Linked DNA regions of Lonchura striata. The protein of the gene in region 1 purifies or fractionates together with the protein of each later gene. This does not show direct contact. Links are inferred from orthologs where the notes say so. Each region holds a gene or a part of one and is shown in the gene's direction. Other genes may lie near its edges.

What was found.
Region 2: the proteins of ANAPC4 (region 1) and ANAPC15 purify together in Homo sapiens (affinity purification with mass spectrometry; 10 studies listed by BioGRID and IntAct, with this or other methods). This does not show direct contact. The link is inferred for Lonchura striata from reciprocal best matches to the Homo sapiens genes ANAPC4 and ANAPC15.
Region 3: the proteins of ANAPC4 (region 1) and NEK2 purify together in Homo sapiens (affinity purification with mass spectrometry; 6 studies listed by BioGRID and IntAct, with this or other methods). This does not show direct contact. The link is inferred for Lonchura striata from reciprocal best matches to the Homo sapiens genes ANAPC4 and NEK2.
Region 4: the proteins of ANAPC4 (region 1) and ANAPC1 purify together in Homo sapiens (co-purification; 13 studies listed by BioGRID and IntAct, with this or other methods). This does not show direct contact. The link is inferred for Lonchura striata from reciprocal best matches to the Homo sapiens genes ANAPC4 and ANAPC1.

The regions. Positions count from the first base shown.
Region 1 is NC_134606.1:18,430,217-18,437,868, forward strand, and holds the start of ANAPC4 (anaphase-promoting complex subunit 4), read left to right. Parts: upstream 1-4,639; 5' UTR 4,640-4,719; coding exon 4,720-4,827; intron 4,828-5,404; coding exon 5,405-5,510; intron 5,511-5,518; exon of another isoform or gene 5,519-5,640; intron 5,641-6,388; coding exon 6,389-6,521; intron 6,522-7,652. UniProt on the Homo sapiens protein: Component of the anaphase promoting complex/cyclosome (APC/C), a cell cycle-regulated E3 ubiquitin ligase that controls progression through mitosis and the G1 phase of the cell cycle.
Region 2 is NC_134604.1:4,304,582-4,311,273, reverse strand, and holds ANAPC15 (anaphase-promoting complex subunit 15), read left to right. Parts: upstream 1-4,400; 5' UTR 4,401-4,480; coding exon 4,481-4,600; intron 4,601-5,479; coding exon 5,480-5,539; intron 5,540-5,621; coding exon 5,622-5,759; intron 5,760-5,898; coding exon 5,899-5,946; 3' UTR 5,947-6,166; downstream 6,167-6,692. Other genes in the region: folate receptor gamma, read right to left, coding at 1,123-1,397, 1,753-1,888, 1,963-2,151, 2,370-2,517, 2,689-2,735; TOMT (transmembrane O-methyltransferase), read right to left, coding at 6,427-6,692. UniProt on the Homo sapiens protein: Component of the anaphase promoting complex/cyclosome (APC/C), a cell cycle-regulated E3 ubiquitin ligase that controls progression through mitosis and the G1 phase of the cell cycle.
Region 3 is NC_134605.1:12,190,174-12,197,354, forward strand, and holds the start of NEK2 (serine/threonine-protein kinase Nek2), read left to right. Parts: upstream 1-4,180; 5' UTR 4,181-4,216; coding exon 4,217-4,312; intron 4,313-4,460; coding exon 4,461-4,678; intron 4,679-5,675; coding exon 5,676-5,913; intron 5,914-6,410; coding exon 6,411-6,493; intron 6,494-6,744; coding exon 6,745-6,871; intron 6,872-7,181. UniProt on the Homo sapiens protein: Protein kinase which is involved in the control of centrosome separation and bipolar spindle formation in mitotic cells and chromatin condensation in meiotic cells.
Region 4 is NC_134605.1:27,745,933-27,753,641, reverse strand, and holds the start of ANAPC1 (anaphase-promoting complex subunit 1), read left to right. Parts: upstream 1-4,697; 5' UTR 4,698-4,810; coding exon 4,811-5,023; intron 5,024-5,806; coding exon 5,807-5,968; intron 5,969-6,095; coding exon 6,096-6,147; intron 6,148-6,710; coding exon 6,711-6,820; intron 6,821-6,973; coding exon 6,974-7,056; intron 7,057-7,709. UniProt on the Homo sapiens protein: Component of the anaphase promoting complex/cyclosome (APC/C), a cell cycle-regulated E3 ubiquitin ligase that controls progression through mitosis and the G1 phase of the cell cycle.

The DNA.
Region 1 (7,652 bases):
CAGATAGCGACCTCTGTTATTCTTGCTTTGGCAAAAACCTGTTCTGATACTGAGTCTATGGGAAACCCACAGCAGTTCAGTTTCATAGATTTATTATTACCTGCACAGTATATCTTCCGTAACCCACTGGGAATTAATTTCTCTTCCCCAAATTCCTTTGCATTGCAAAGAGGACAGGACAAGTTTGCTGCTTGCCACTTAGACCAGAACTTACCCAGCTGTGGTCTGTTGACATATGCATTTTTGCTTATGCTTTGAAGTTGTAGAACTTGCTAATTTCAAAATTTCATTTGTGATTTTCACAGATTCTCAGGACTGTTGTTTCAGAGTTACAGTCCTTCCTACAGAGGAGTTGTTTCTGTAAACAGTGGGACTGTACAAAAGTAGTTTTGTTTTAAGATAGAATCAGTGCGGGGTTTAATAAAATAATTTATTTGCCTTTTGTAGGATGGCAGACGATGGAAACATTGTGTTCTTTGCAAAAAATGTGTAAAGCCCTGTAAGTACAGAAAACTATTTTCTAAATAAAAGTGCATTTAGTCCAAAGAAACTGAATTTCCAAACCAGAATAGAAAATATTCTGTGAAAGAAGTAAAATATAATTCAGAAGATATAGAATAAACAAAAAGTCTCAATTTCACACAAGTTACTATTCTTTAGTTTAGATGTACTTGCACTGTGTGGAAATGCAGGAAATTCTTGCCAAGGCACACTAAATCCCATTTACATTTATCATGGCAAAACAGAAATATTTCCATTTGTCATATAAGTGTTTCCTAATTTTCTAAACTTTGAATTTTCTAAACAAGTAGGGAATTACAAAATGTTTGAGAGATCATGGTAAAATTGTTTGATGCTCAAATTTAGTTGTATTTATGCCTCTGTATAAATAGCTGAAGCAGTTATCTTTGTTACTGTTACAAAAATCAAAATCTGTAAATACATTGTAACATCTGCAGTGTTTTTCTTTTGAAGATGACACATAGGATAAAAGTTCTAATGGCAAAATAATTCACACTTAATTGCACAATATGTCCAGTAATGTGATAAGGGTCCCGAAGGTGACTACAGCTATCTCTGCAAAGCTAATCCAGAATTAAAAACCTGGTAATGTGGCTTTAAAGCTTAGTTTCAGAATGTTCAATTTAAACTTTTCCAAGATCATAAATAATGTTATATATTTTGCAGCTTGGTTTCACTGTAACAATTGCAAGTGCTGCGCTCTTCCAAAGCACAGCTGTGAGAAGACTGACATTGGCTGTTTCGTTTGTGGCAAGGCAGGTCACAAGCGCAGTGCCTGTCCCAGTCTCTCCCGCCCCAGAACAGCTTGTCAGTAAGTGTCATATTGCATTAGTACAGTAACATACAGCATTCAGATGAGATGAGATGTCACGGAATCAGTTCAGAAGGAGATGATATTTTGCTTTAGGTGCTGATGTCAGCTTTCCCTATTGCTCACTTGCTGGACTGTTGGGGAGTATATACTGAAGGGAGGGTATGATAAAAGGCAGGTCACTTTCTGGGGCTTCCAATTCCCTGTCTGTGGGTTTTCTTTCAAAACTGATTTATATGGATTCAGACTTGGTGACTGGTGCATGGAACTCTGTCAAGGTGACTGAAAATTGAAGTAATGGAACACTTTCATCCCCTTTGAGTTCCTCATGCAATGGCAGAGAAAACAGACACAATATATTAGAGTCACCAAGAGTCACATTGAGTACTTTTAGTCTTCCATGATTTTCCTTTTGTTACATACAGAACAACACTGTATGCATACCTGTATGTATCAGAGAGCCAAGTAAATGGTTTTTGGTTGTCTTCAGATGGAACTAACTGAAAAGAGGAAAGCGGATTTGCTAAGAGATGATCCAGCAGATGGCTCAGTCTTTCCAGTTCAGGATAATTGATTGCACTACTATAAATTCCTTTCCAGAGTAATGGGTTTTTCTGTGATTCTGGACTTGAATGGCTGTAGCAGTGGAAGGCAAATTTTCCCTCCCAAAAGCTGTACCTGTGTTACACAGTGAGACTCAGACCATTACCCTCTTGAATCAGTATCCAGGGACTCACCAGATGCCTGCTGGATAGCAGATGGGTACAGGTGTATTGCTTCATGTCCTACTGACACTAAACCAGATTTTGTTTAGGGAGTATTAGACACAAAACGTAGCAATGTTTCATTTTATATATCTCTCATAAAAATTGCGTCTCTTAATGTTTCTTTTTCCTTTGGTAAAGAAATTAAAAAGGATGCTAAAAGAATTTATGAAACCTCATCTGTTTTTTCTGTCAAGGAAGATACTGTTCTATCAGTTGTGCCGCAATGGTTTTAATATTTTAGGCCATCAGTTAGTTCTTTTGCTGACTCGTTGCAGAAGATAGCTTAGATTTCTTTTTCGAATAAAAATGTTGTATGTTTTGTTACAATTACTCAGAATTTTGTGTTGTGACATCTTTTGTCAGAGATAGAAAACAATCCACTTGTTAGTTGTATTTAGGTCTTGTACTAATTGCAGGATGCTTTCTAATGGTGTTAAACTTCACATACTTTTTTCTAAGTCTTTCTATTATATATTAATGCAGTATATATTCAGCGTGAAACTGTGTGTGCTTTTTTTGTACTCAATGAGTGAGTTTCTTGTTTTCAGTATCTGTGTAAATTTAAATGCTGAATAAATACATAAAATGAATATATAATGGCAATAAAGTGGACAGTTTTGTGAACTTGAAAGACCATAACATTTTGAGACAGGTAATGTTCCATGTACTTCACATACTACCACATAATTAATATACTTATTTAGAATACCAGCAAATGTATTTGTACAGAGAAGTGTGTTCTTCATTTTATTCTAATCTCTGTGTTCCTTTTTTTCCTTTACAGACCTGACAAAAAGAAAGGACAGAAAACTCGAAAGAGAGTAAAAATGGGGATCTCTAAAAGATTAGCTATGAAATATGCCATATTCTCCAAGAGGAAAGTAAAGAATAAGAAAAAAATGACATGACTCTTTTTGCTGCTACATAGTTGCTAATTTATTTTTTTTATTGACAGCCTTTTGTTCCATTTTCTAAAAATGTAAGTGCTAACATCCAGAATAAAACATGATGGAATTAACAGTTCCTTTATCATCATTACTGATACCAAACAAAAAAAAAAAGCAACAAACAACTAAGTGAACTACCACAGCCCTTGTCATGTGTGTGTATAATGTGATAATGTTGTATTTAGGATTAGCTATTTGTCTAATTCGATGGGTGTTGGACGTTAAGGGTCTTAACTGCTGAGAGGTGAGATACTGCTCTGATTTTATGTTGGAGGACATGGGGCAAGGAAGAAAGTGAGGGTAGGTGATGGGAAGGCACGAGTTCTAGGAATTCAGTCTCTGTTGATTACAGTCGTCTCACAGGATGGCCAGTGATTTTTTAAAACGTTCTCTCCAAATGGAAAATGGGTTTACAAAAAAAAAATATTTAGTACTAAACAGTATGTCGTAAGTAAGCAGAGCGGGAAGAGCCTGACCAGCCTCCCCTGGCTCGGCGCTGCGGCGGCTCCGCTCCCGAGCCCCGCCCCGCTGCCGGGACAACCCGCACGGCTCCAAATCCCGCCCCGCTGCCGGGACAACCCGCACGGCTCCAAATCCCGCCCCGCTGCCGGGATAACCCGCACGGCTCCGAGCCCCGCCCCGCTGCCGGGATAACCCGCACGGCTCCCAAATCCCGCCCCGCTGCCGGGACAACCCGCACGGCTCCGAGCCCCGCCCCGCTGCCGGGACAACCCGCACGGCTCCCAAATCCCGCCCCGCTGCCGGGATAACCCGCACGGCTCCAAATCCCGCCCCGCTGCCGGGATAACCCGCACGGCTCCAAATCCCGCCCCGCTGCCGGGATAACCCGCACGGCTCCGAGCCCCGCCCCGCTGCCGGGACAACCCGCACGGCTCCGAGCCCCGCCCCGCTGCCGGGACAACCCGCACGGCTCCCAAATCCCGCCCCGCTGCCGGGATCTCCCGCACGGCTCCCAAATCCCGCCCCGCTGCCGGGATCTCCCGCACGGCTCCAAATCCCGCCCCGCTGCCGGGACAACCCGCACGGCTCCCAAATCCCGCCCCGCTGTCGGGACAACCCGCACGGCTCCGAGCCCCGCCCCGCTGCCGGGACAAACCGCACGGCTCCCAAATCCCGCCCCGCTGCCGGGACAACCCGCACGGCTCCAAATCCCGCCCCGCTGCCGGGATAACCCGCACGGCTCCAAATCCCGCCCCGCTGCCGGGATAACCCGCACGGCTCCGAGCCCCGCCCCGCTGCCGGGACAACCCGCACGGCTCCGAGCCCCGCCCCGCTGCCGGGACAACCCGCACGGCTCCCAAATCCCGCCCCGCTGCCGGGACAACCCGCACGGCTCCCAAATCCCGCCCCGCTGCCGGGATCTCCCGCACGGCTCCAAATCCCGCCCCGCTGCCGGGACAACCCGCACGGCTCCCAAATCCCGCCCCGCTGCCGGGACAACCCGCACGGCTCCGAGCCCCGCCCCGCTGCCGGGACAACCCGCACGGCTCCGAGCCCCGCCCCGCTGCCGGGATAACCCGCACGGCTCCGAGCCCCGCCCCGCTGCCGGGATAACCCGCACGGCTCCGAGCCCCGCCCCGCTCCTTGCCGCGGCGGGCAGCGCCGCCCCGGAAGCGGAGCAGGCCCGGCGGGCTCGGCGCAGCCCGCAGCCATGCCCGCCTTCAGGCAGGTGGGCGAGAAGCAGCTGCCGCAGGAGGTCGTGTTCATGGCCTGGTCCCCCAAAAGGGACCTGATCGCCCTGGCCAACCGAGCGGGGGAGGTGAGTGCGGCTGCTGGTGAGAGCTCGGGAGGAGCGGCGCTGCCCTCCCTGCAGGCCCGCATGCCTTTGCTGTTACTTGCAGCATGTTTCTCGTGAGTCTCGACAGGCATTTAAGGACAGCAATTTTTTAAGTCGAGCGTCTTACTGCTCCTTCATATTTTGCATTCTGATTTCCGAACAAATTCATATACGATGCGCTCGTTGTTTGTAGGATTTTAAATGCATGGATGGGCCTATTTAAATTAAATCTAATTTTAAGTACTTTTTCCCGTGGAACTGCAGTGTATGATCATGTAGGAAGACAAGACTTGTGCTTTCGGGCTGTCTGCTAGAGAGGTGGTGGGTAACCCCTGTTGGTTAGGAGCTTGTATCCTTATGCACCTTATTTCTCTCTTCTGCTATAAACTATGTGCTGCCCTCTAAAAGAATATAGGAGTGAATCATCTGCTAGAGGAGCAGGTGGTGTTTAAGACACAGGAGTTAAAAACGGGTAAAAAAGGTGCATCTTGAACTGATTTACTAACTTTATTAATGGGAGAATATGGTTTAAGTTTGTCTTCATGCATTCGTTTTATAGGTTTTACTTCATCGGCTTGCAAACTTTCAACGTGTTTGGAGTTTGCCTCCAAATGAAAATACAGGAAAAGAAGTGACTGCTCTTGCTTGGAGACCAGATGGCAAAAGTAATGTCAAGTATATGAGATGATATGGTGCAATAAAACCCCATGGGAACTCATGAATGATGATGCCTCTCATCTGTGAAGGAAATTTTCAAGTAAACTGTGTTTGAAGAAAAGGGTGGCTTAATTTTATGTAGGTTCATTCACAGCAATAGAGATATTAACACTGTTGAATGCAATTGCAAGAAAGATTTCAGATTTATATGCCAAATGTTGCTTTTCAGGGTATAGCAAAATTTCAACCTCCTAATTAAGCAGGATATTTTGTATGAACTACAAAGTTTATTGGGAGGGAAAGAAGCTGTTTGATCAGGATTGATTGAAAAGCTTAGCTTACTTAACATAGGCAAAACTTCATAGGCTAAAATTACTCTAATTATAGACCAGAGAAGAAAAACATAGCCTTTTCCTTATTAATAGAAATAATGTTGAAATTAGTAGCTTAATAAACTTATGCTAGAAATCAGTTAATTTTTGATTCACTAGAGGTGGGAGATGGGAACAATATTCTTCCATGACATATGTATAAAAACTACCTATATTGTTTTATGAAGGCATCTGAAGAGTTTAAGAAACTTCTTTTTAAGATGATTACCTGTGATTATAAGGAAGGAAATGGAGAAACTTCTGCCTGCAATTCTCTATTATGAGTGAAGAAAGTGATACAAAAGTTGCTCAGCTTCTAATTTGTGTTTTTTGTCCACCAAATCTTTCTGGTGGACAATGTTATACATAATATTGGACTCAAGTTTGCAAAATTGGAAGCCTCTACTTTATCAGAACTATTGTTAAAAGTGTTAGAAGCGTGTTCAGTTCTAGGTCAGTGTAAGATAGACATTTTGCTCATTGGTTATTTATACATTTTACTTGTCTTTCTCTAGTTTTGGCTTTTGGCCTTGCTGATACCAAGCGGATTATTCTGTGTGATGTAGAAAAGCCTGAAAGCTTGCACTCCTTCTCTGTGGAGTTATCTATCACATACATGCATTGGATGGAAGTAACTGAGGAAAGCAGGTGAGTCTGAAAAGTAAATCATGAGCTATGTAATGCCACCTTACTGTTAATTTTTATTCTTAATGTTACAAGCAGTTACATGAAATAATACAGTATTCCATACCTGAGGGTTTTTCTCACAACTTGACTAAATTTTCCTTTTTAGAATAGACACTTTTCATATGCTTATTTTTAGTGCTGACACCTTAGTCTTGTGGGTCTTTGGGTGATTTTGTGCATGATTTTGTGCTTCTCTTTCTTAAGAGCTGCTTAATCTAGTGTTAGCATGTACAGCCTGTCTTCTGATCCAGTTTGCTTCAATATCAATCAATTTATTAAACTAATTATAAGAATGTTATGTTCATCTCTTTTGTTAGTCAGAATAGGTATTATATTTAAATATTTATTCTGTGTTTTCAAGATTTTTATTTTGGTGTTTATGTCTTTTGTGTTTTGTCCTTGGTGTTACATCCAATTTCATTGGCAATCCTGTTCAGGAAGTCAGATTATCTCTAGTGACCATGAACTCTGTGTGATTGAACAAGTCTCAGCAGCACTTGTGTCCTGGAGGACATCATGGTCCCTATTTCTGTTGTCTTAAGGAAGCCTCTGATGTGCACCTTATGGCAGTGCAAGAACATGTTAAATAAAACACTTATTTAAAGGAGGCAGGTGGTGTAAGCTCCTGATTTGAGGATTTCCCCCCTCACCTGCCATAAGCATCAGATTTAAAATAGCAAGAAAATAGCTGTGCCTTTAACCACACTGACATTCTTCTTCTGGTGGGAATAGGCTTAGCTTTTTGTGGGGAATCTCAACCTTCTGATATATCCAAGATGTGGTATTAAGTATTGTGCTTTGATCTTCCTGTTACTGCAATGTATCTTTAGCTGTTTTGAGGTGTGGGTAGGTTGTACTGCAGGTTTGGAGAGAGTTTAAACAGAAAACCTCTGATAGTAATTGCTTTACAGGCAATGAAAAATTTGGTGACAAGCTTCTGAGCCAGCCAATACAAACTTTATTCACTGGAAATAAAAAAAGATTTTCAGTTCTTTTATTAATTTGATCACTTGATAAATTTTTAAAGGTCACATAAATTATTATCCTCTGATATTTGTAATTTTGATATACATAATGCATTGAATATATACT
Region 2 (6,692 bases), on another chromosome or scaffold:
TTACCACATTTGTAGATCGAGTAATCCGAGCAGCAGAAAGGCAATGCAGTGATGATATAGCTCACCCAATAATGATATGGGACATTATTGAAAATAATGCCAATGCAGAATGCAAAAGAATTATCAAAGCCTTGGGAAAAGAAAAACCTACAGTGCTTGAAATGATTGAGGCCTGCAACAAAATTGGAAGTCCACAGCAAGCAGCGACGATTCAAGCAAATGAACTTGGAAAAACTCTAGGAGAACAAATTCAAAAGGCTCTCACAGCACAGGCAACACAAGCAGAAGCACGAGACAAAAAACTTACTGAAATCCTAGCTGCCTTGCATCTCACCTCCCAGCAACAAGGCAACGCTATGGCTGTTAGGCAAACTGCTGTAACTTCAGGACCTTGCTACTTCTGCAAAAAAACCTGGCCATATCATGAAGAATTGCCCAAACGGCTAAAGGAGCTCTGTAAAGTAGGCTTGATTATGTTAATAGTGATAGTTTCGTTTCATTTGTAGTACCCTGCATACTTCAGTGTGTGCAAAATTGATGAGGAAGAGAGTATCTAACATCTTAGTTGTTCATCAGAACGGGGGAGATATTGGGGAAGATGAAATGGGAAAGTCTTATAAATATGTTTGCTTAGCAAAGGATTTGGAAAATACAGAGACTGAGTGAAACTGAGATGAGAACAAACTTTGAGATTTCGGACCTTGGTTGCTAAGCAGCTGGTGGACAGTAGTGTAGCTAGTAGAAGGTAACTCCCTTTTTTGACCCACAGACAGATCCAAGGGTCATCCCTCAAAAATGTGTAGTTTATCCTAACACCTGACTTCAGAGATCTCTTGTCTCTGTCCGTCCCGACCATCCAGGACCAGCCCTCACCACAGTCTGCTTCATCTCCCCCCCAGAAGCAGGATGAGACAAACAGACACCCCCTAGGTCCCTCAACCATCCTACTGCCACCCCAACCATCCCACAACACCCCAAGACCAAGCCGGGCAGGAGCATTTATTCATGAAGCACGTGCCTTGGTGGGGGACACAGCTTGGGAACATTTCATGGGGAGACACAAGGCAGCCTGGTGACCTCCCTGACCACCTACTGCCTGCTCCTGCCTGCAGCCCCTCCTGCTCAGAGCAGGGCCAGAAGGGCGAGGGGCAGCAGGGACAGCAGGATAGAGAGCGGGGAGTTTGGGGGAGCATCGCCATGGGCGTAATATTGGGCGACGACAACGTTGGGGTTCCCCTGCGTGGGATCAAACCACATCTGGATGCAGCGACCGCTGCCACGGTGGTGGGATGTGTAGCGGTAGGAGCCAGACCAGATCTGCTCGCAGAGTGCAGCCGCCGTGGGGAACACAAACTTGAACTTCTGGCACATGGCACCCTTGGGACACTGGTTGGTGCCTGGGGGTGGGCAAGGGGTGAAGTGGGTGAAGGGCTTGGGGAAATGGGTGTTGTTTGCCTGTGCATGGGGTGCAGATGGGTCCCACTGGCATTGCTGGGGAAGAGAGAGTTGACCTCAAGGTGGCACAGGGTCTACCCCACATGCCATGAGGACCCTGACCCACTCACATGCACAGGGGACTCTCACCTGGCTGCCACCCCCACCCCATGGGGACCCTCACACCCCTGGACCCACTCACACCCACCAGGGAGGGTGGATACAACTCCCTTGCTCCCCTGCAGCAAGATGGACACTGACTGGAGACCTACAGGAGAGTTGAGGCATGATGGGGGCTGCCCTGCAACCCCCACTCACCTGTAGTCCAGTTCCAGCCCTTGTGCCAGTTGACCTTGCAGGTGACAGCATCCTGGCAATCCTCCCACCACTGCTCACAGTCCTCCCAGCACAGTGGCACATCCCGGATCCGCTCCTTCCTCCAGCTGGTGTCTGCCTGCAGGGCCCCCAGTTTTCTCCAGTTCACCCCAGGGATCCTGGTGGGTGGGTGAGGGTGGGGTCTTCACCTACCTGGTCGATCCATGGCCCCAGGTTAGGGGAACACTCATAGAGACACAAGTCCTGGATGAAGTGGCGCTTGCATTTCTCTGGCATGGCCCCACAGTGGTCCCAGTTGAAGTTGTACAGGTAGGACTGGTCCTGGTGAGCTTCCAAACTCGTGTTGGCAGTGCAGCAGGCATTGTCCTTCCAGAGGATACACTGCACCAGGGCAGCTGGGGCTCAGCTGGGACCCACCAGGACCCACCAGGGCTCAGCTGGGACCTGCTGCAGGTCCAGGGGAAGCACCAGTGCCCGTGGGTGGGTGACACTGGATGATGGAATTCATGTTGGGGCACAGAGCCCTCCAGCCTCCATCCTGGTGACCCCACAGCAAGTGACACCAGTGGGAGCTATAGTACAGTGCATGAGGACCGTACCTGCCCATAGAGCTGCCCCTCAGGGCCAGGCTCTGTTTTATGGTGCTTGGCATCCATGCAGACGTTGAGCAGCGAGTCCTGTGTCACTGTCACTGCTGAAATGGCAGCTGGCCAGGCCAGCAGCAGAGCCAACACCGCTGCCATTGCTCTGCCAGGGCAACAGCAGGTCAGGACAGCAGCACCGAGAGACGCAGTTACAGCAGGGACAAAGTCCCCCGCTGTGCCCGTGGAAGCGCGGCAGCACACGGTCACCGCCCACGACCACCCACAGTGGGGTCAGGGGTCTTACCTGGGGATGCCAGGGGATCAAGACTCTTACCTGGGGGGCAGCTGGGCTCCAGGTGCTGTGGGACGAGCACAGCTCATCTCAAAGGTCGTGGTGCAGCACAACCCGTGGCCACTGGTCACGGGATGTGGGAATGCAGCGGATTGGGCAGCACTGAGGACACGGAAGAGACAGTGCATCCCACCCTGGCACCCCACTGTGTCCTGGATTGACACTCATGCCTATCCTGGCCCCACGTGCAGCTGGGATTCATCCTCCTGGCGCCAGGCTGGGGCCAGCACCAGCCAAAATCTACTTAGGGCTATTTTTCCTTCCCTCCCGTGGGAGGTGGCCTGATTCCTTGACACCAGCACAAGGGGCAGGACGTGGCCCCCCAGTACCACAGGGTCCCTGTGAATCACTGTGAGGCGGGGAACACCACAGTGGGTAAGAGATGTTGCTGGCAGGGACAGGTACCCCCTGTGGGGTCACAGATGGCCACAGCGTAGAGGCAAGTACCCCTCATGGAATTACAGGCACTCCAGGGAATCACAGATGCCCCGTGAAGGGGGGAGCGGATAGCCTGCAGGAGAGCAGTCCCTGTGGCTCGGGAGGGACAGAAATGCTCCAGGGTGAGACATTCCTGGGGCAATCACGGAGGTAAGATACCCTACAAGGGGGACACACTTCCAAGGTCACACATGATGGGGGACCAGACATGCCCCAGGGATCACAGATGCCCTGAGTAGTGGGGAGGATACCCCTCACAGATGACAGATAATCCTCAAAGGAGCAGATACCCCATCAGCATCACAGATACCGCCTCACTGGGGTCACTGGTACCTGTGGGGGGGTCACAAACCCACCATTAGTCACAAATACCCCAACGAGGGGCACAGATATTCCGTGGGGATCACCCCCTGAGGAGAGTCACAATGCTTCCCATCGGGGTCACACATCCCCAGGGGGTCACAGATGTTATGTGTAGTAGATATAATTTGTGGCATTTCTAGGATGATATATGTGATATTAAATATTTGTTGGAGTATACATGTTTGTATTAGGAGTCCCCCCCACCCTCTCAGACGAAACCTGGTGCGTGTTGAAACCTGATTTACACGTAAAAGGATGTGGCTGGGCCAGGAGGGATAAGGGGATACCCGGGCACTGATCATTGCGTGAGCGACCCGAGATGGATATTATAGAAATATTATAGAAATCCTCGGGCAGATACAGGTGAATGCAGGATTCCTGTAAATTTCATCAAGGGATTCAACAACTCTGGACACGTAATTGTTCTTCCTCATCACCAAAAATAAAAAGAAAATCTCATTAACCTACGGATTCTGAATGGAAGAAAAGACTGATTGCTGAAATCTTGGCCTCAGGCGGAATTTTCCCTATAAAACCCGCCTGTGCCAGGATGGAGGTGTGTGGGCACAGAGGAAAACCTCTGCTGAGGCTGACTCCTTGTTGCGCACGCAGCGCGGGGCTCAGCACTGTTCTTTCCTTGTGGCTGGCTAGATAGAATCTGATCGCAAAATAAATATTTGCTTTTTTTCATTTTAATTCGGCTGGACAAACTCTCACTTGTAACACAGACAGCTCCGGGGCGGGTCACGTTCGCCCGGCCCTCACAGCGGCCCCACACAGGACGCGCGGGGGGGGGGTGAACCCTCCACCTGTCAATCAAGCGACGCCCCGCCCCCAGGCGAGGCCACGCCCCAGCCGGGCTCCCCCTGGCGGCCGCGGTCGCGCCGCTCTGCGCATGCTCGGTGCGCGGTAACCGGTTCCGGGTTGCGCTCGCTGCTGGCTGGGCGGCCGGCGCCGGGCGGGCGGCCGCGCCATGTCCACGCTGTTCCCCTCGCTCCTGCCCCGCCTCACCGAGCCCCTCTGGTTCAACCTCGACCGCCCGTGCGTCGACGAGACCGAGCTGCAGCAGCAGGAGCAGCAGCACCAGGCCTGGGTGGGCACGGCTGTGGGGGCCGCGGGCCGGGTGTCAGGGGGCCGGGGAGCGGGCCCGGCTCCCTCAGCGGGTACGGCCCCGGGGCGGTGCCCGGGCTGGGGGCTGCTCCGCTGGTCACCGCCTGTGCCCGTGTTTCAGCTCTTGTGCCGCTGTCGCCGGCTCGGGCACCGCTGCTCCCGTGTCCCTCATCCGTCACTATTACCGGAGCTCCCCGTTTTATTGTAGAGGGTTAATTAATAAGATGCTGCTGGAGCTACGCGAGCTCTCTATGAATTAATTAACTAATCTCCCCAGGCAGGCAAAGAGCGATTTGTGATCCTGGTGGCTGATAAGTGTTGGCGATGTGAGCGTGGTTTTGTGCTGCAGTGCCCCTGAGTGTGGGGGGAAGAACATCTATTTGATTAAAGTTAAAAAAAAAAAATCAGTAATTAAGTTTTTATAATTAAATAATAAAGTTTAAATCAATTAAAACTTCAGGACGTAGAAGAGGTTCCAAATCCCTCTGGGTGGGAGGTGCTGACATATTTTAATTGAGCTTTAATTATCTGCTGTGGTTGTGTTCATCTGGCTGATCAGATTTGTCCCAGATTTGTTTATTTTTTGATAAAGAAATACATAAGCTTTGTGTTTGGGCTTCTGATGCCGCACATGGGGATACCAGTGTCATTGGGACCAGCCTGCTTGGTGCCAGGGTGTTCAGGCAGGTGTCTGGAGCTGCTCTTCCCTGCTTGGCCAGGAGATGCCAGGGAGGCAGCAGGACTGGGCTGGAAACAGGCGTGAATAGCAAGCGCCACAAGCCAGCAGCTGAGCCGACAGGGCCTGTTTGCTGGCGTGTCATGGAGCTGTTGGGGTGCTCACCTGCCTCTCTCCTTTCCCCAGCTCCAGAGCATTGCTGAGAAGGACAACAACTTGGTGCCCATAGGAAAGCCAGCGTCCGAGGTGGGTGTGTGGGCAGGGAAGAGGGGGGCTTGCCACAGCGCTTGAAGGGCAGATGGGGTTGCTGGAGCTGTTGTGTCCACAGCACTATGATGAGGAGGAGGAGGAGGATGATGAAGATGATGAAGACAGTGAAGAGGACTCAGAGGATGATGAGGACATGCAGGATATGGATGAGATGAACGATTATAATGAGTCTCCTGATGATGGGGAGATCAATGAGGTAATAGTGCGAGACCCCAAAGAAGGGGATGTGAAGTGTGTGGGACCCTGAGCATGAGCTCCAGGAGCTGTCTTCTCTCCTTCACACCCTCAATTAAGTTCTTGCTCTGGAGGAGATCTTAAACTTCTTTCTTTCCTAGGTGGACATGGAGGGGACAGAGCAGGATCAGGACCAGTGGATGATCTGATTCTGCCACAACCACACCAAACCAGAGGCTGGGGGAGATTCTTTGCCCCCCATGGCTCTGGGGGACGGTTCAGTGAAGCTCCTCCTTCCATGGGTGCTGTGTGGGGCAGCAGATTCAGAGGGAAGCCCCACAGGGGAGCCAGAGGGGAGACTGCCACCTGGCATACTGGGACTGACACATCGTTTCTAATAAACTCAGTTTTCAAGAAAACAACCCCAAATCTGGTGTCTGAGGCCACCAGGGAGTCAGGGGGTACCACCCAGGCAAATGCAGGGCTGCTCCCCACCATTGACTGGTGCGCCTGGCAGATCTCCCTGTGCAGTGCAGGCAGGAACACTGCAGGGAGTGAGCCCACTCATTGCCCGCTGCGCCCCACCACAGACCACAGAGCCACTGCCTTTTCTCCAGAGCCCTTGTTGAAGCCGGGGCAGGGGTTGGGGAGTAACTGTGGCCATCACGAGGCAGGGGCTCGCCGCCCGCTCAGTGGGTGCCGGTGTAGCGGAGCTCGGCGATACCGTCAGGAATGGCGCGGAAGTACTCCAGGCTAGCGCGGTGCACCTTGCAGTGGTATTTGCCGCAGGTCTTGGCGTACTGCAGGAAGTGAGGTGCCCCAGGGAAGAGGACGTTATCAGCCAGGATGGTGGCCCCCTCAGCCAGCAGCTGGTGGCTTTCCAGCAGCCGTAGATCCCGCAGGTAGCAGCGTTTCCAGTGATCCATGAAGACCAAGTTGGCATTCACCAGGCCAT
Region 3 (7,181 bases), on another chromosome or scaffold:
TGACAATAATGGTGCACGGAATTCTGGTGATGGTTGAAAAACTTTCTTGAAATATATTGAAAAATTTGAAAAAATTTCTCCCAATACATCTGAAGGGACTGTAAGTACAAATAAATTACTGGAAAAACATTTGAGACTGGCTGTTCCACAATAAGCAACTCTAATATTGTTGCTTTTAAAAAATTAAGCAGCTTTACTTACTGTATCACTTAAAGCATTTTTTGAGCATTTTGAGAGCTCCTAGATATTAAATTTAATCTGGAAAGTTTCCCTTTCAAAAGATGATAAATTGAGGCACAGATCCTAAACTTGTCTGCTTTCCTTGACTTAGTAAGCAAGCCAACAGAAATAATGAATTAACATACTAGAATCCTTCCTTAGAATCCTTCCCAATACTTTAAATTTTGACTTATTAAGGAAGGACACACCGTAATTTCTCTTTTGAAGTTCTATACATGTCAAATAATCACTCTTTTCATCAGTTTAAATAGTGGTCTTAAAGAGCAATTCAAGCACCTTCTGTTCTTAAGGTTAATGAATACTATTGTGAAAATTAGCATATATATGAAGACATACATGCTCTATTTTGTTCCTTTGCTGTCCTGTCCACAGCTGTGTTGTGCAGAATTTTGTCAATGAATGTGTTCTTTGTCTCCCTCACAAAGCAATAGAGCGAAATCTTATCCTCTGGTATTTTTTATAGTGTTTCTCTCTAATATCCAAGTATTTTATATGTTTTTGTTGATCCTGTGTATGATTTTTGTTGTTAAAATCAGTAAATATTACCAAAAAGTTACATCATCTGTGTACAACAGTCCTGGGTAAATGTAAAATGTCTGGGCAGGGACAGAGATGAGAGAAAGTGAGGGGGAAAAACCCAGTGTGCACAAAGATATGTAAGGACAAATGCCATTGAATGTTAAAAACTCCAAACTACTTCTGTGGTGAAAATAAACTCAAATAAAACACTCATCATCTTGGTCACTCCAGTATTTATAAGCCCTCTTTCTGTCATGTAAAAATATTTCTAAGACCTCTTGCCTGTCTAATATTGAATACTCAATTCCTCCTTATTTTGCTAGAAGACTTTGGTACATTTCTGCCATGGATCCTGGACTAAGTCTTTACATGTCTTTTACCTCTTAGAAAAGAAAAAAAAATCAACATTTTTCTCAGTTGTTTTTCTAATTATTCTTATAGAGTGCATTTATTTTTCATTATTAATAATTTTTATGGCTTCATTTTCAGTGCTTTTCCTGTTGAGCTTATTTTCACTTTCTGAACCTGTGCAATCTTCTCTGATTGAAAAACAAAAAAACCAACAAAACAAAAAAAACCAAAACAAACAAACAAAAAAAAGCAGCCAGAAACATACTTAATTCCTTCAGTACTTAACTGCACTTTTTTTGCTATTAATCTGTATAATTATATTGTGATGGACTTTCACAGCAAAGTGTCACACATTTATTTTTACCTACTTCCATGTGCAAAAAACAAAATATCTTTAGAGAAATATCAAATTGCCTACCATACTATTTATCTTCAGCATTTAATATTTTGTTAGATAACTAGGTCCTGGAATAAGAGAAAATGTACTCTTTACAGCACAAAGGACAGATGTCATCAAAACTAGAAACCTCAGTAGGCAACTACCAAAGAGTACTTTTATTTTGTTCAAGTTTTAGGAAATAATTGGTGAAATTTGATGTTAAAAAAATTAAAAGCAGAATATAATATTAGAAGCATTATTATAAATATGTTATTGAGAACTATTTGGTGGCTTTTGAGGCCTGAAGTCAGCACATTTATTTTCAGGACTAGAAATTTGAGATTTGCTCCTGAACTAAGAGACCAGAATTGAAAATACAATACATTACAAAGGAGGCCCCCATTTCAAACTTGATACATAGTTTTGGAATTATTCATGTCTGGGTTCACTTGTCCATATATAAAAGGAAAAAAAATTCTTGTCATTTTTATAAGTGTGAAAATCAGAAAGAAAGAAAATGAAGTGCCTGTCAAAATTTTAATAACCACTTTTATAAATGCATTTTTCTCAAAATTAGCTAGCCCTTAATAAGTATAATAAAAAGTGAAATGACTGCTGCTGGCTTTTGAAGCATGACATTTTGACATTTCTCTGATTCAAACCAACATTTCTAAAGAAACTTTTAAGACAGTGCCTAGACAAAACACAGTATTGAAATCCTACTGTATTTCTTTTGAAATATAAATAGAAAGGCTCCCATTGATAACAGTGGGAATGCATGATGACCTTTTGCTTATTTGAATGTACAGAAGTTGGAAATGGAGATATTTAAAACCAGCAATGAAGCTTCCAGCCTGAATAATACATACTGTACTGCTTGTCATTTTCATTGAGTAATGCCATAATTTATTCACTATGCTAATGGTGCATGTGAGGATTTTCTTTCAAAGTAATTGAAATCAGTAATAAACACAAACCCTTTAGATCACCCTGTTATCCATTAATTACAAAACCAAAATACCTTTACACTGTAGAATTCATTTGCTCATTTTTTCCTGTAATGACCATACATTCTCTACAGATAAGAAGTCTATACAATTTTTATAATGGACAGCAGGAGTTTTTGTGCCTCCTGATGATAAAAGTAAAGGTTTTGATTTTTCTAAAGACTAATAGAAGAATATTTCATAAATATTCAGTCATAGCATGACACCTACTCAAACCTATTTCAAAGCTGAAACAAAATTGGGAAATAACTGAGACCGTGTGGAGATGCAAAATGAGGAACTGCTCTGTCCTGTTGCTGAATTTCTAGGTCAGGACATACAGCTGTTCCCTTTCACACCTGATCCAGGAAAGTGTCCCTGCCCATGGCTGGGAGTGGGAACAAGATGATCTTCAGGGTTCCTTCCACCCCAGACCATGATGATTCTATATTATCACAAGTATGCTACAAAGCTTTGCTGAAGAAGTTCCTGTTCCAGTCACAGCTACTGCCACATGGATAGAGATAAAATTGAGCTGCAGAACTGCACCTTGGCATCATTCCTTACCATAAATTATGCTAGAAAATACACTACATTGTTCTTAAAATGTATATAATGCCATTAGTAGATTGTGGTGTTACTGAGCGCCGTTTACTGTAACCACAGTATTTGCTGGCTCCGTTTGGATGTGGATCCACAGTTTGCATTTCCCAAATTTTATTATATGTTTTCAGCAGGTGGTTTGTGTATGATGTAGTATGGGTGTTTATATGTGGTAGGACAGGGAGCTGCCATGACTTTGGTAGCTATTCATGAGTGATTTTTTGAAGAAAAAAATTTGAAGACATTTTCCACACTGGTTTTAAAGGACAATTTTCACAGAACATGCCGAGTTGGAAGGGACCCACAAGGATCATCAAGTCCAACTCCTGGCCCTGCACAGGACACCCTGAGAGTCACACCATGTGCCTGAGAGCTTTGCCCAAACATTTCCTCTGTCAGGCTGGTGCTGTGACCACTGCCCTGGGCAGCCTGTTCGTGAGGAATTTTTTCCTAATATCCAGCCTAAACCTGCCCTGGCACAGCTCCAGGCCAATCCCTCAGGTCCTGTCACTGGGCACCACAGGGCAGAGATCAGTGCCTGCCCCTCCTCTTCCCCTCACCAAGAAGCTGTAGACTGCAATAAATCCAGACTAGATTTACGTTATTTTAAACAGCTTAAAGGTTTGGGGTTTTTTTAGCATTCCTGAACAGTAAAATTATCTATCCAACAGATGTAAGCATTTCAGAACGGTGATGATTTACTGTTATTTTTCATGAAAAAAACACACACCCCTTCCTGAGGAGCTATGGATATGTGACTATGGATATGTGACTATGATATGGATATGCATGCAGGCCCGGTGATTTGTCTAATCAGGAAGAAGGGAAGGGGAGGGAAGGGGCAAAGGGAAAAGCAGGGGAAAAGATAAGGACACAGGCGGTAAAGCTGCGGAGGCCGCTCCCCTCAGCCCCGGGTGAGGCGGGGCGTGGGGCCGGTCTCGCGATGGGCTCGGCCCCGCCCCCGGCGGTAACGGCCGTACCCGCCGCGCCTCGCGGGCGCTGTTTACGGCGGCGCAGCCAATGGGCGGGCGGGGCGCGCGGGCGGCGCGGCCAATGGGCGGGCGGGGCGGTGCGTTTGAACGGCGCGGCGCGAGCGCAGGGGCCCGCGCGGCCCGGCGCGGTCCGTGCGCTGCCCGCCATGCCCGGCCGCCCCGACGACTACGAGGTGCTGCTCACCATCGGCGCCGGCTCCTACGGGAAGTGCCGCAAGGTGCGCCGCAAGGCCGACGGCAAGGTGAGGCGGAGGCAGCGCGGCTTCGCTGCTGCCGTGCGTCCCTGCCCGGTGCTGGCGGCTCCCCGCCACACGCGAGCGAGCGCCTCCGGCAGACCCTCCTCCCCCTGCGCTGCCCCGCTCACTCCCCAGCGTGTTTCTGCCCCCGCAGATCTTGGTATGGAAGGAACTGGACTATGGCGCGATGACGGAGTCGGAGAAGCAGATGCTCGTGTCGGAGGTGAACTTGCTGAGGGAGCTGCGGCACCCGAACATCGTGCGCTACTACGATCGCATCATCGACAGGAGCAGCACCACCCTGTACATCGTCATGGAGTACTGCGACGGGGGAGACCTGGCCAGCTTGATCGCCAAGTGCGCCAAAGAAAGGCACGTGGAATGAGCTTGTGTTCTGCAGTGTCTCGCACGGGTCTTGGGCAGCCCGGAGAGAAGGGAAATGTGCTTTGTAACTGCTGAATAGTTTCAGCTTTTAAGCCTTCTCGACCCCGCAGCTCTTCTCAAAGGTGAAAGGTTTTGTACAAAGTTGCAACAGCGATGGGAACTGTGCTGTTGAATGCTTCACCGGATTGGTGTTGGTGCTGCCAGCAGTAAGAAACGCAGAGCTGTCTTGTGAGGCAGAAGCTCTTGAGGGGTTTCTGGCTATCAATGGTCTTCCCCATGAGTAAAACTGCCGGGACCCTGGGATTTATGAGAACACAGACGTGTGTGGAAGGGAGCAGTGATTTTGATTGCAATATGAAAAGCTATTTTACCTGCCCATATATAGAGCTTGGAGAAACATCAAGTTGATAAGGCTTCATCTTGGTCTAATCTTAGACTTAGCATTCTACTTAAAAATAGTGTCAGTTTTCACATTCTTAGCTCAAACAAGTACATGACACGACCTCTTTATGAGGATAGTCTAAAACAGTTCTGCAGCTGCCTGCCAGTATCAGTGTTTTTCATTTAAGGGAGTCTGTATTTAAAAACTAGCCCTGTTTTGGCTGTTATTGTCTGTTGCTCATTATTAACAAATGACAACATATCATTATCTTGAGCAATCAAAGGGACAGATCGCATTACGAAAGCATCAAATTGATATTTGTAAGTAGTGAAAATGCTATATGTTTGTTAGATAGTATGGGGGAGGAAAGAAATATTGCAGGGATTCTGCAATGAAAGCCTCAATGTCATCTAACATATTTGCAGTGATTTAAAAAAAAAAAAATCCGTTTTAAAGGTAGAATTCATAGATGCCTGTTGCTGATAGTGCTTGAGTGGTCTTTTATTATAGTACTATTAAAAAGTTATGGAACTAAAACTGGCAGTGACTAATCAAACTGATGTGTGTTCAGAAAATCCATTAAACAATGTGTTCATTTTTCAGGCATTTCTTGGATGAAAGCTTTATTATCCGGGTGTTGACTCAATTAACGTTGGCCTTGAGGGAGTGTCACAGGCGGAGCGATGGTGCAGTCACTGTGCACCGAGACCTGAAACCAGCAAATGTCTTTCTAGATAGCAAACAGAATGTGAAACTTGGAGACTTTGGACTGGCTAGGATATTGCACCATAATACCAGCTTTGCCACAACGTTTGTTGGCACTCCATATTACATGTCTCCAGTAAGTCCCTTCTGTACATTATCTTCCCTTTTGCCCCTCCAAGGTGTGCTGTGTTGGTCTGAGTCCATGAATGTTTGGGAGGTTTTCATGAAGCTTTATTGGTCTTAAATGCAGGTGACTTTTTTCATAAAGTATGTGCTCTGGATACAAAGTTATTTTGCAGTTTTCATCTCCTTTCTTCCCCGCACAATCAACTTCCTTCTAATAACAGTTGCTCTTCACTGTATAAGCTTTGTTATATTCCTGGGACACTAGCAATATTGGAGTATGTTGTTCCTGAAAAGGAACAGGGAAGTTAGAGAGCTTTTATGCTTCATACTTTAAGGTAAAGCACTTATTAAATTACCTCCTAATGGTAGGATTTTAAGTTGTAGTGGAAATGAGCAGGAATGACTTGTTTCCCTGATATAGGACACTTTGTGTGGGAAAGATTAATGTTGACTGAAATAGAGTTGCATGTCTTTGTTAACAAACCTAAGATTATTCTCTTTCTTTAGGAACAAATGAACTACTTGTCATACAATGAAAAATCTGACATCTGGTCGCTAGGATGTATTGTGTATGAATTATGTGCTCTCTCGTAAGTATGGTAGCATGATAACAAATGTGGAAACATGATTGCTAATGTAGATGTGGTTGTATTTTGTACAGATGGAAGCTTAACAGTTTCAGAGACTAGTCCTAGATTTTTATTTCTCTATTGGTCTTGACATTAGGTAGTCAAAACAAACCTTGACTGCAGTTTTTTTTTTTCATAGTCTGATACTTTTTTTCCTGAAAGTAAGTCCTGTAAAACTAGTGAAAGAATCAAAGTAAAATTTTCTTCTTCAGGCCTCCATTTACAGCTTTCAACCAAAAGGAACTGGCAGAAAAGATAAGGGAAGGGAGGGTCAGGAGAATACCATATCGTTACTCAGATGATTTGAATGACCTTCTCAAGGAGATGCTGAATGTAAAGGTAAGAACCAATTACTAATTTTCCCACCGATAATTTGAGCTACTACTGAAATACTAGTTTTTCTTAATTATGAAAAAAACCTATCTGAAATAGGGGTTGTTATCACCCCTCACTGGCAGTGTCACTTGTGGAGGAAGGAGGGAGGAGTTTGCTCTGAGTCCATCAAACAAAGGCAACAGCTCAAGTGTCATGCCAGGGTCACAGGATGCCAAAAGGTGGCCTCAGTATTGGCTTACATGGGTGAGCCTTAATAAAGGTGGCCTCAATAAGTTTGCATGTTTATTGAGGCCTTATAACTTCAGGGTTAAAA
Region 4 (7,709 bases), on another chromosome or scaffold:
AAGCATTCCATGATTCAGACACTTGTAGAGTGACAAGGTCCCCCCAAACACTTGTAGAGAGTGACAAGGTCCCCCCTGAACCTCCTTGTCTCCGGGTTGAGCCTCCACCCCTAGCTCCCCCAGCTACTCCTGGTGCTCCAGACCCTTCCCCACCTCCATTCCCATCTCTGGACACACTCCAGCACCTCTAAGTCTTTCTTTTCATGCAGGGCCCAAAATTGCCCCCAGGATTTGAGGTGAGGCCTCACCAGTGGTCACACAGGGGGACGGTCACTGCCATGATCCTGTGGCCACACCACTGCCATTGGCCTTCTTGGGCACCCGGGCACACCTGGGCTTGTGATCAGCCACTGCACACCTCGGACCTTTCCCAGCCCCTCAGCCCCAGCCTGCAGCGCTCCATGGGGTTTTTGTGACCCAAGCGCAGGACTGGTCACTTCACCCTATGGAATCTCACTCACCCCATTGCCCTCTGGCCTGCCCAGCATGGGAATGCTGTGCTGAAGGCACTGCTCCTTCTCACCTGGCCCATACCAGCAGGATAATAGGGAACAGGGACAAAAACAAGGAAAGGAGGAAGACCCAGGGGAAACCAACATAAGCCATTAACCCAAGGCAAACTGAACAGATCTCTTGTGGCATGGGAAGGAAACAAGGGAGTTTCTGGATATTCAGACCCTGCCCCAACACTGGCCTTGCATGGGGACATTTGGGACCAAGGTGTATCGGGGTCATGCGTGTTCCCCTCGCCTGCTGCCTCATGGGAAGGGACTGGGATTTGGGGAACCAGCATCCTGATGATGTGGCTGAAGGGCACTGGTATTTCTCTGCACCAACCTTTCTGCTCCCTGAACCTGTGACACAAGTCACTGCCTGCTGTACTCTTCCCAAAGAATAGAAACACACCACTTTGAAGCCTTTTCCATCTGGGAAGAAAAACCTCCTTAAGCTCAGCTAAAAAACTGCAACAGATCACTCCCAGTCTTCTTTGACTTGCAAAGTTGCTTATTCACTGCACATTCCCAGGCTTTGGTGACAGGGATTGAATTTTCATCCCAGCTTCCCATATCTTGAAGCCATCAGCAGCCAAGGAAGGGCTCATGGACTTGGAGGCCCCGAGGAAAGGGAAGAAGGAAAACTCACTAAAACTGCTGCAAGAAGTTGGAGCATCTTCCATGAAGATCCAGCAGCACTGCTTTTCCTTCAGATGTTGGGCATATTCCCTGTGGATCCAGCATCCCTCAGGGAGCAGGACAAGACCAGGGACAGACATTTGTCCCATGCCTGTCATTTGTGGTCAGCCTTTGCTACATGAGTGCACTTTGATCTGGCTGCATTCCTTGCTGCTCCTGCTGGCTTTGCAATTTTTGGAAACAAAGCAATGGAAAAGCCTTTGGACTTTGTGGGCTGCAGGCTGGGAATGGCCCTTGCATCAGGATACAGTCACCCCACTAACACAGGGTGAGGAAGAGAAGCAGATTGTGCAAAAGAGGAATTTAAAAAATAAACAAGAACATGCAGGACCATAAAGAGGATTTCAACAGCTCCCAAAAATCCCCTGATTTGGGTCATTTCTTTGCAGCAGGTTGGGTTCTGCTCCAGCTCCAGAGGGTTTGTTGCACAGCCTGACGTGAGGAACAGGTTGAAAGGGAGGAAAAAATCGGAGAGGAGAAATCAGAGGAGAAACTCTCAGGTGATAGGAAAAGCCTGGAAGCAGTTGGCAGGAGCCAATCTGGCCCCTTTGGCTCTAGGATACCTCAGTGCCATCCTCCTGCTCCTCACAGCATATGGAATACTGGAATGGTCTTTTTTGAAGCAGGTGATGGATTTCCATCCTCAGAGCCCAAACTCAACAGTTGCTGGGGAGTATCCCCACAAACCACTCATGGTTTTTGGCCCTGACTCACCAGATCATGCCAAGCAGCATCCCCTGTTCCCACTGCCTGGGTTGGGAATCAGGTGGCATTTGGCCCTAAGAATAATTCCTGGGGCAGTGGGAGAGGCAAAAAGGCAACTGGTGTCAAAAGAAGGAGGGACAACCTTTCCTGAGCAGCAGGATCAGCCCTGAATCAGCTAAACCAGTCACTACCCAAGGTTATCTGATCCATCACCAGCAAGGAGGAGTCCATGTTTTCCTGCTGTGTCCTGCACCAGAGGGAGAGATCCTTATCTTCACAGCCTGGGTGAGAAGGTCCCAAAAGATCCCTCTCTGCAGGGATCCTCAGCTCTTCCTTGGCGGGATCCCAGTGATGCAGGTGTCTGAGTCTGACCCATACTTTGCAGTTTCACTTCAGTGCATTGACTCTGTTTCCTCACCAGACTTTTGGGAGACCTTGGATCCAATTTTTCCTTTGGGAAATCGGATTGTTTAGCAGAAATGGCACTTGGCAATCAGACGTGTGGGCTTTTGTCTGCTGAGGGTATTTTCTTCCCAGCTATTTATGTGTTTTTATTTTCATTTTGCTAAATCATTCCTTTATTCCTGCTTCCTCTTTGGGCCTATTTTTATTTTGATTTTCAGGGGCTCCTGTTCTTTCAAATGCCAAACTCCTTTGGCAACACGTCCTTAGCTGAGGGCAGCTGGCCCGTTTGTGCTCAGTGCTAAACCCCAGACACAGGATGCGGCTCCCAAACAATTTGAAGGGAAAACCGGAACTTTTTGTGATGCCACTAAAATGCCTTTTTCTTGCTGTGCCTGTTCTGGGCACTGGGACACCCTGCAGCTCTTACCGGGCACATCCTGTCCCTTGGCTTAGCTGGCTCTTCCCAGAACAATTTCTCCTGCTCTGCAAATCACTTTGCGAAAGCAAAGGTTGGACATTGGCTTTTCCTACCCTGCTTCTCCTTTCTGAGAAGCACTTCTGTCTCAGCTTAAACCAAAGAAACCCAGACTCCAGTTTCAAGTATGTTTTCAATTCATCCACAGCTTCTCCCTTCTTTGCTTATTGTGAAACTCATGTCTTGAAAATAAATAATTTGCCCTTTCAGTTCCCATCAAGCTACTCCATACATGTTTTAGAGGAGGGTTAGATGGGATATTGGGAAGAAATCTTTTCCTGGGAGGCTGAGGAGGCCCTGGCACAGGTTGTCCAGAGATTCTGTGGCTGTCTCATTGCTGAAAGTGTCCAAGGCCAGGTTGGATGGGGTACAAATCCTATGAGAACAGAAAGGGTTGTAAAGCACTGCAAGAGGCTGCCCAGGGAGTGGTACAGTCGTCATCCCTGGAACTGTTAAAAAAAAAAACAAAACATGTGGACGTGGCAATTGAAGACATAGTTTAGTGGTGAACATGGTCGTGGTGATGGCTGATGGTTGGACTTGATGATCTGAACGGTCTTTCCCAACCTTTGCTCCTATCCAGGAGGGAGAGGGGATGGCACAATCTCCCTCCATTCCAGACAGAACAGCCCCTCCTATGTGACAGAAGCGAGGATTTTAGCCGGGATAAGTCAGCAGAGCCCAGACTTACACAGATTTATGCTAATCCATGTCACAAGCACATGGAATGGTGGCAAGAGAGTTGTACCCATGCCCGGGGTGGCTGCAGAAGCCTCATTGGTCCCACAAAGTAGCTTCTTAAGCACCGTATCAGAGAATTCCAGAATCCCAGAATGTTTTGTGTTGTAAGGGATCTCAAAGATGATCCAGTCTCACCCATTGCATGGGCAGGGACACCTTTCACTATCCCAGGGTGCTCCAAGCCCTGTCAACTTGGTCTGGAACACTCTCAGCATGGGGCAGCTTCTCTGGGCCAATGTCCATGTCTCGAACACAGATGGCCATGGAGCTGAATTGTTGGGAATAACGGACAAGGATTGTTGGTACTAAATGCCAGGTAAATGAACAAGATGTAACTGGAGAAGGGGCCATGCAGAAGTAGGGCAGGGCTTTTCTGGAACAAACATCCTTGTTCCAGTTCAAGAGACACAATAACAACAACAAAAAGAGCATCAGCACAGAATTCTTTCTTCCTTTATGTCGGAGCCCCTTCAGGCGCTGAAAGGGGCTCTAAGAGCTCCCTGGAGGCTTCTCTTTTCCAGGTGAACACTCCCAATTCTGATGGAGATTGAGCCTAAGATTGGATACATCTTCATCCCACCTCCTCTTTGAAAAGCAGTTTAGGAAACAAGAGGGTTTATTCTGTATCTCCTTTACCCTTTCTTCCTTTTTACATCACTGGCTTCCATCAAAATCACTCTACATGGACTCTGATTATTCTTTATCCTGGGATGCTGGGATGATTTGGGTGGGAAGGAACCTTAAACATGATCCAATTCCTTGCCATGGGCTGGGAAACCTTCCACTATCACAAGTTGCTCCCACCTGGCCTGAACACTTCCAGAGATGGGGCAGCCACAGCTTCTCTGGACAACTCTTCCAGTGCTTCACCACGCTCACAGGGAAGAATTACTTCCCAATATCCGTCTAAACGTATCCTCCGTCATTTCAAAGACAGTCCAGCACGACCCCAGGCCGTGAGCTGGGCGATCCATGACGGAAGTCGCCACGGGAGGACAGCAGTCCCCAACCACCGCCGCCCGGCAGCGCCGTGCCAGCGCTCGGCGGGACTGTGGCACCGAAAGGGCATTTTGGGGGAAGTCTCCCCCGAGGATACGCCGGGAGGCACTGGAATGCCGCAGGACACGGCGGGAACAGGCGCGGCCATGGCGGGGCGGGCGCGCGCGGGGCAGCCCGGGAGCGCCAAGATGGCCGCGCCCGCGTGAGGGGCCGCCGGTGCCGCTCCCCGCGCGTCCAGGTGCCCGCGGGACCCGCCGGCGCGTCCCGGAAATAATGAGGATATCGGGGCCCCATGTCGGACCACTGTGACGAGAGGGCGACGATGATTGCGGCCGGCGACCTGCAGGAGTTCGCGCCGCGGGGCCGCGAGCAGAGCCGGCGGCACCCCAGCGCCCTGAGCCTGCAGCTGCGGCGTCTGCAGCCCGCGCCGGAGCTCTGCTCCTCCGACGGCGCCGCAGGACTCGTGGGCTCCCTCCGAGAGGTCACCATCCACGACCGGCAACGGGTACGAGCCTTCCTGAGCTGGGCGTCGGGAGGGAAGGGAGCTTGAAGCCCATCCGGCTCCCGCCCGCCGCCGTGGGCTGGGACACCTTCCACCAGACCGGGCTGCTCCAAGCCTCCTCCAGCCTGCCCTTGACTTCCAGGGATGGGGCAGCCTGCGCCAGGGCCTCACCACCCTCCCGGGGAAGAATTCCTTCCCGATATCCCACCTAACCCTGCTCTCTGGCAGTAGGAAGCCATTTCCCCTTGTCCTGTCAATCCAGACTCGTGTCCAAGTGCCGCTCCAGCTCTCTTGGAGCCCCTTTAGGCACTGGAAGGGGTTTTAAGGTCTCCTTGGAGGCTTCTCTTCGCCAGGTGAACAGCCCCAGCTCTGCTGGAGTTCGAGCCTAAGATTGGATCCATCCATATCCCAGCTCCTCTCTGAGAAGGAGTTCAGGGAGGAAGGGGGTTCACTCTAAATCTCAGAACTCTACAAAGGGTCTCCCTTGCCCATTCCTCCCTGGCTTCCATCAAAATAAATCTAAATGGATCCTGATTGTCCTTACCATGGAATGCCAGGGTTTTTTGGGGTTGGAAGGGATCTTACGGATCATCTCATTTCACCTCCTGTCATGATCAGGGACACCTTCCACTATCCCATGGTGCTCCAAGCCCCATCCAGCCTGGCCTGGGACACTTCCAGGGATGGGGCAGACACAACTTTTCTGTGCCAGCACCTTGTAACTGGCCTAACTCATCACACCCGTGGGTCTTGTGGCTTTTCTTTTGACAAACCTCTGTTTTCCAGGAAAGCTGGCAGCTGAGGAAAGGCATCAGTGATGTCGGGGAGGAGGTGGACTATGACGAGGAGCTGTACGTGGCCAGCAATGTGGTCATCTGGAGCAAGGGCAGCAGAAGCCAAGCGTCCACTGTGTACAAGGCATTCACCGTTGACAGCCCCGTCCTGCAGGTACAGAAATGTGGGAAAGGGGCACTGAGGGAATCCACAGACCCTTTCTAGGCAGGGAACAGGGGAAGGTGACATTGTGTGGGAGCAGCTCGTTCTGGAGAATTAATGATGCTCTGTTGGGTTTCAGGCCTTGTGGTGTGACTTCACTGTGTTCCAGGAAAAATCAGAAAAAGCTGATGGTGAGTGTCCTGCTTCTTGTGCTGCTGGGCAAATGCTCTGAGTTCAGCTTTCTTGGCTTTGAGTCATGGAATTGTTTAGTTTGGGAAAGCCCTGAGAGGCCACCAAGTCCAGCTGTTGCCAACGCCACCACAAAACCACATCCCCAAGTGCTGCATCCACGTGGCTTTTATAGCCCTGTGCCTGTGTCAGGGCTGGATACTCTTTTGGGGAAGGAATTTTCCCAATATCCACCCTGAATCTCCCTGGTGCAACTTGGGTCTATTTCCTCTCATCCTGTCCCTTGTTCCCTGAAAGCAGAGCCTGACCCCAACCTGGCTGCACCCTCTTGTCACAGAGTTGTGCAGACCCGGAAGGTCTCCCCTGAGCCGTCTTTACACCAGACTGAGCTTTCTCTGCCAGTCTTTGTTTTCCAGCCCCTTCCCAGCTCCATTCCCCTTTCTGGACACACTCTAGGAGCTCATTCACCACGACTTGAAATGTCAGAATTTACTTTTTGTGTATAAGGGATGTCGGAAACAGAGTGAAACTTCACTGTGTAATTGTTTTGTTCCTTCCTTTCCAGTGTCAGGCAATGACGAAATAGTGGAGAAATGTATCTGCATTTTGCAGAATTCCTGCATAAATGTGCACAGCATGGAGGGGAAGGATTACATCGCTGCTCTGCCTTTCCAGGTAACTTCTGCCATGCTTTTTGTCCACATTTATGTTTCCCTGCTCTGCGCAAAAAGCCTGAACATCGTATTTTCCTATAAGACCCTCAAACATCATCAACACAGCACATGGTTGATGTTTTTATCCCACCATAAATCCATATTTTTTTTATAGGTTGCAAATGTCTGGCCAACCAAATATGGGTTGTTATTTGAGCGCAGCAGTTTTTCCCATGAGGTGCCTCCAAGTCCACCCAGGTATGAGCTGAGGAATTTGGGTGGTTTCCTGTTGGATAATCTAATAAGGAATGGAAAGTTGAAGGGCAGTAGTGAAATATCCGTGTGTTTCTGATAGAAAAAGGTGGAATTGGGTGGAAAAGGAGGAAGTTATGTTTGACCCTCCCTGGAAGTGTTCAAGGAAAGCTTGGATGGGGCTTGGAGCAACCTGGGATGGTGGAAGTGCCCCTGCCCGTGGCAGTGGATGGAATAGGATAATTTTAAGATTCCTTCCTACCCAAACCATTCTGGGATTTTATTGATGCATTTCTTCCAGTCTTTTTATATCATCCCAGTGACTGAGTGAGCACACTCAAAGCTGAGTGTTAAAAACTATTTGGGTGTGCTGGTCCCAGGAATAGGATCTGGGAAGCACCAGCCTGATTCCATTAAATTTGTCCTAGGAATTGATTTCAGGCTGTCATGGTCAGCTGGGAGAGTCACTGAGGGATTAGCATCGAGACATTATCTCTCAGCTGCAGGATCCCATTTCCTCTTTGGTGAGGATCCCATTCCCTGCAGAGTGGGGATCCCATTCCCTGTTGGCTGAAGCTTCCAACTCTTGTGGAAGCCCTCTCTGCATCCCAAAGGAAGCAGTTGGACAATGTGCTGATGAGCAGCTTTAATCCACTCTT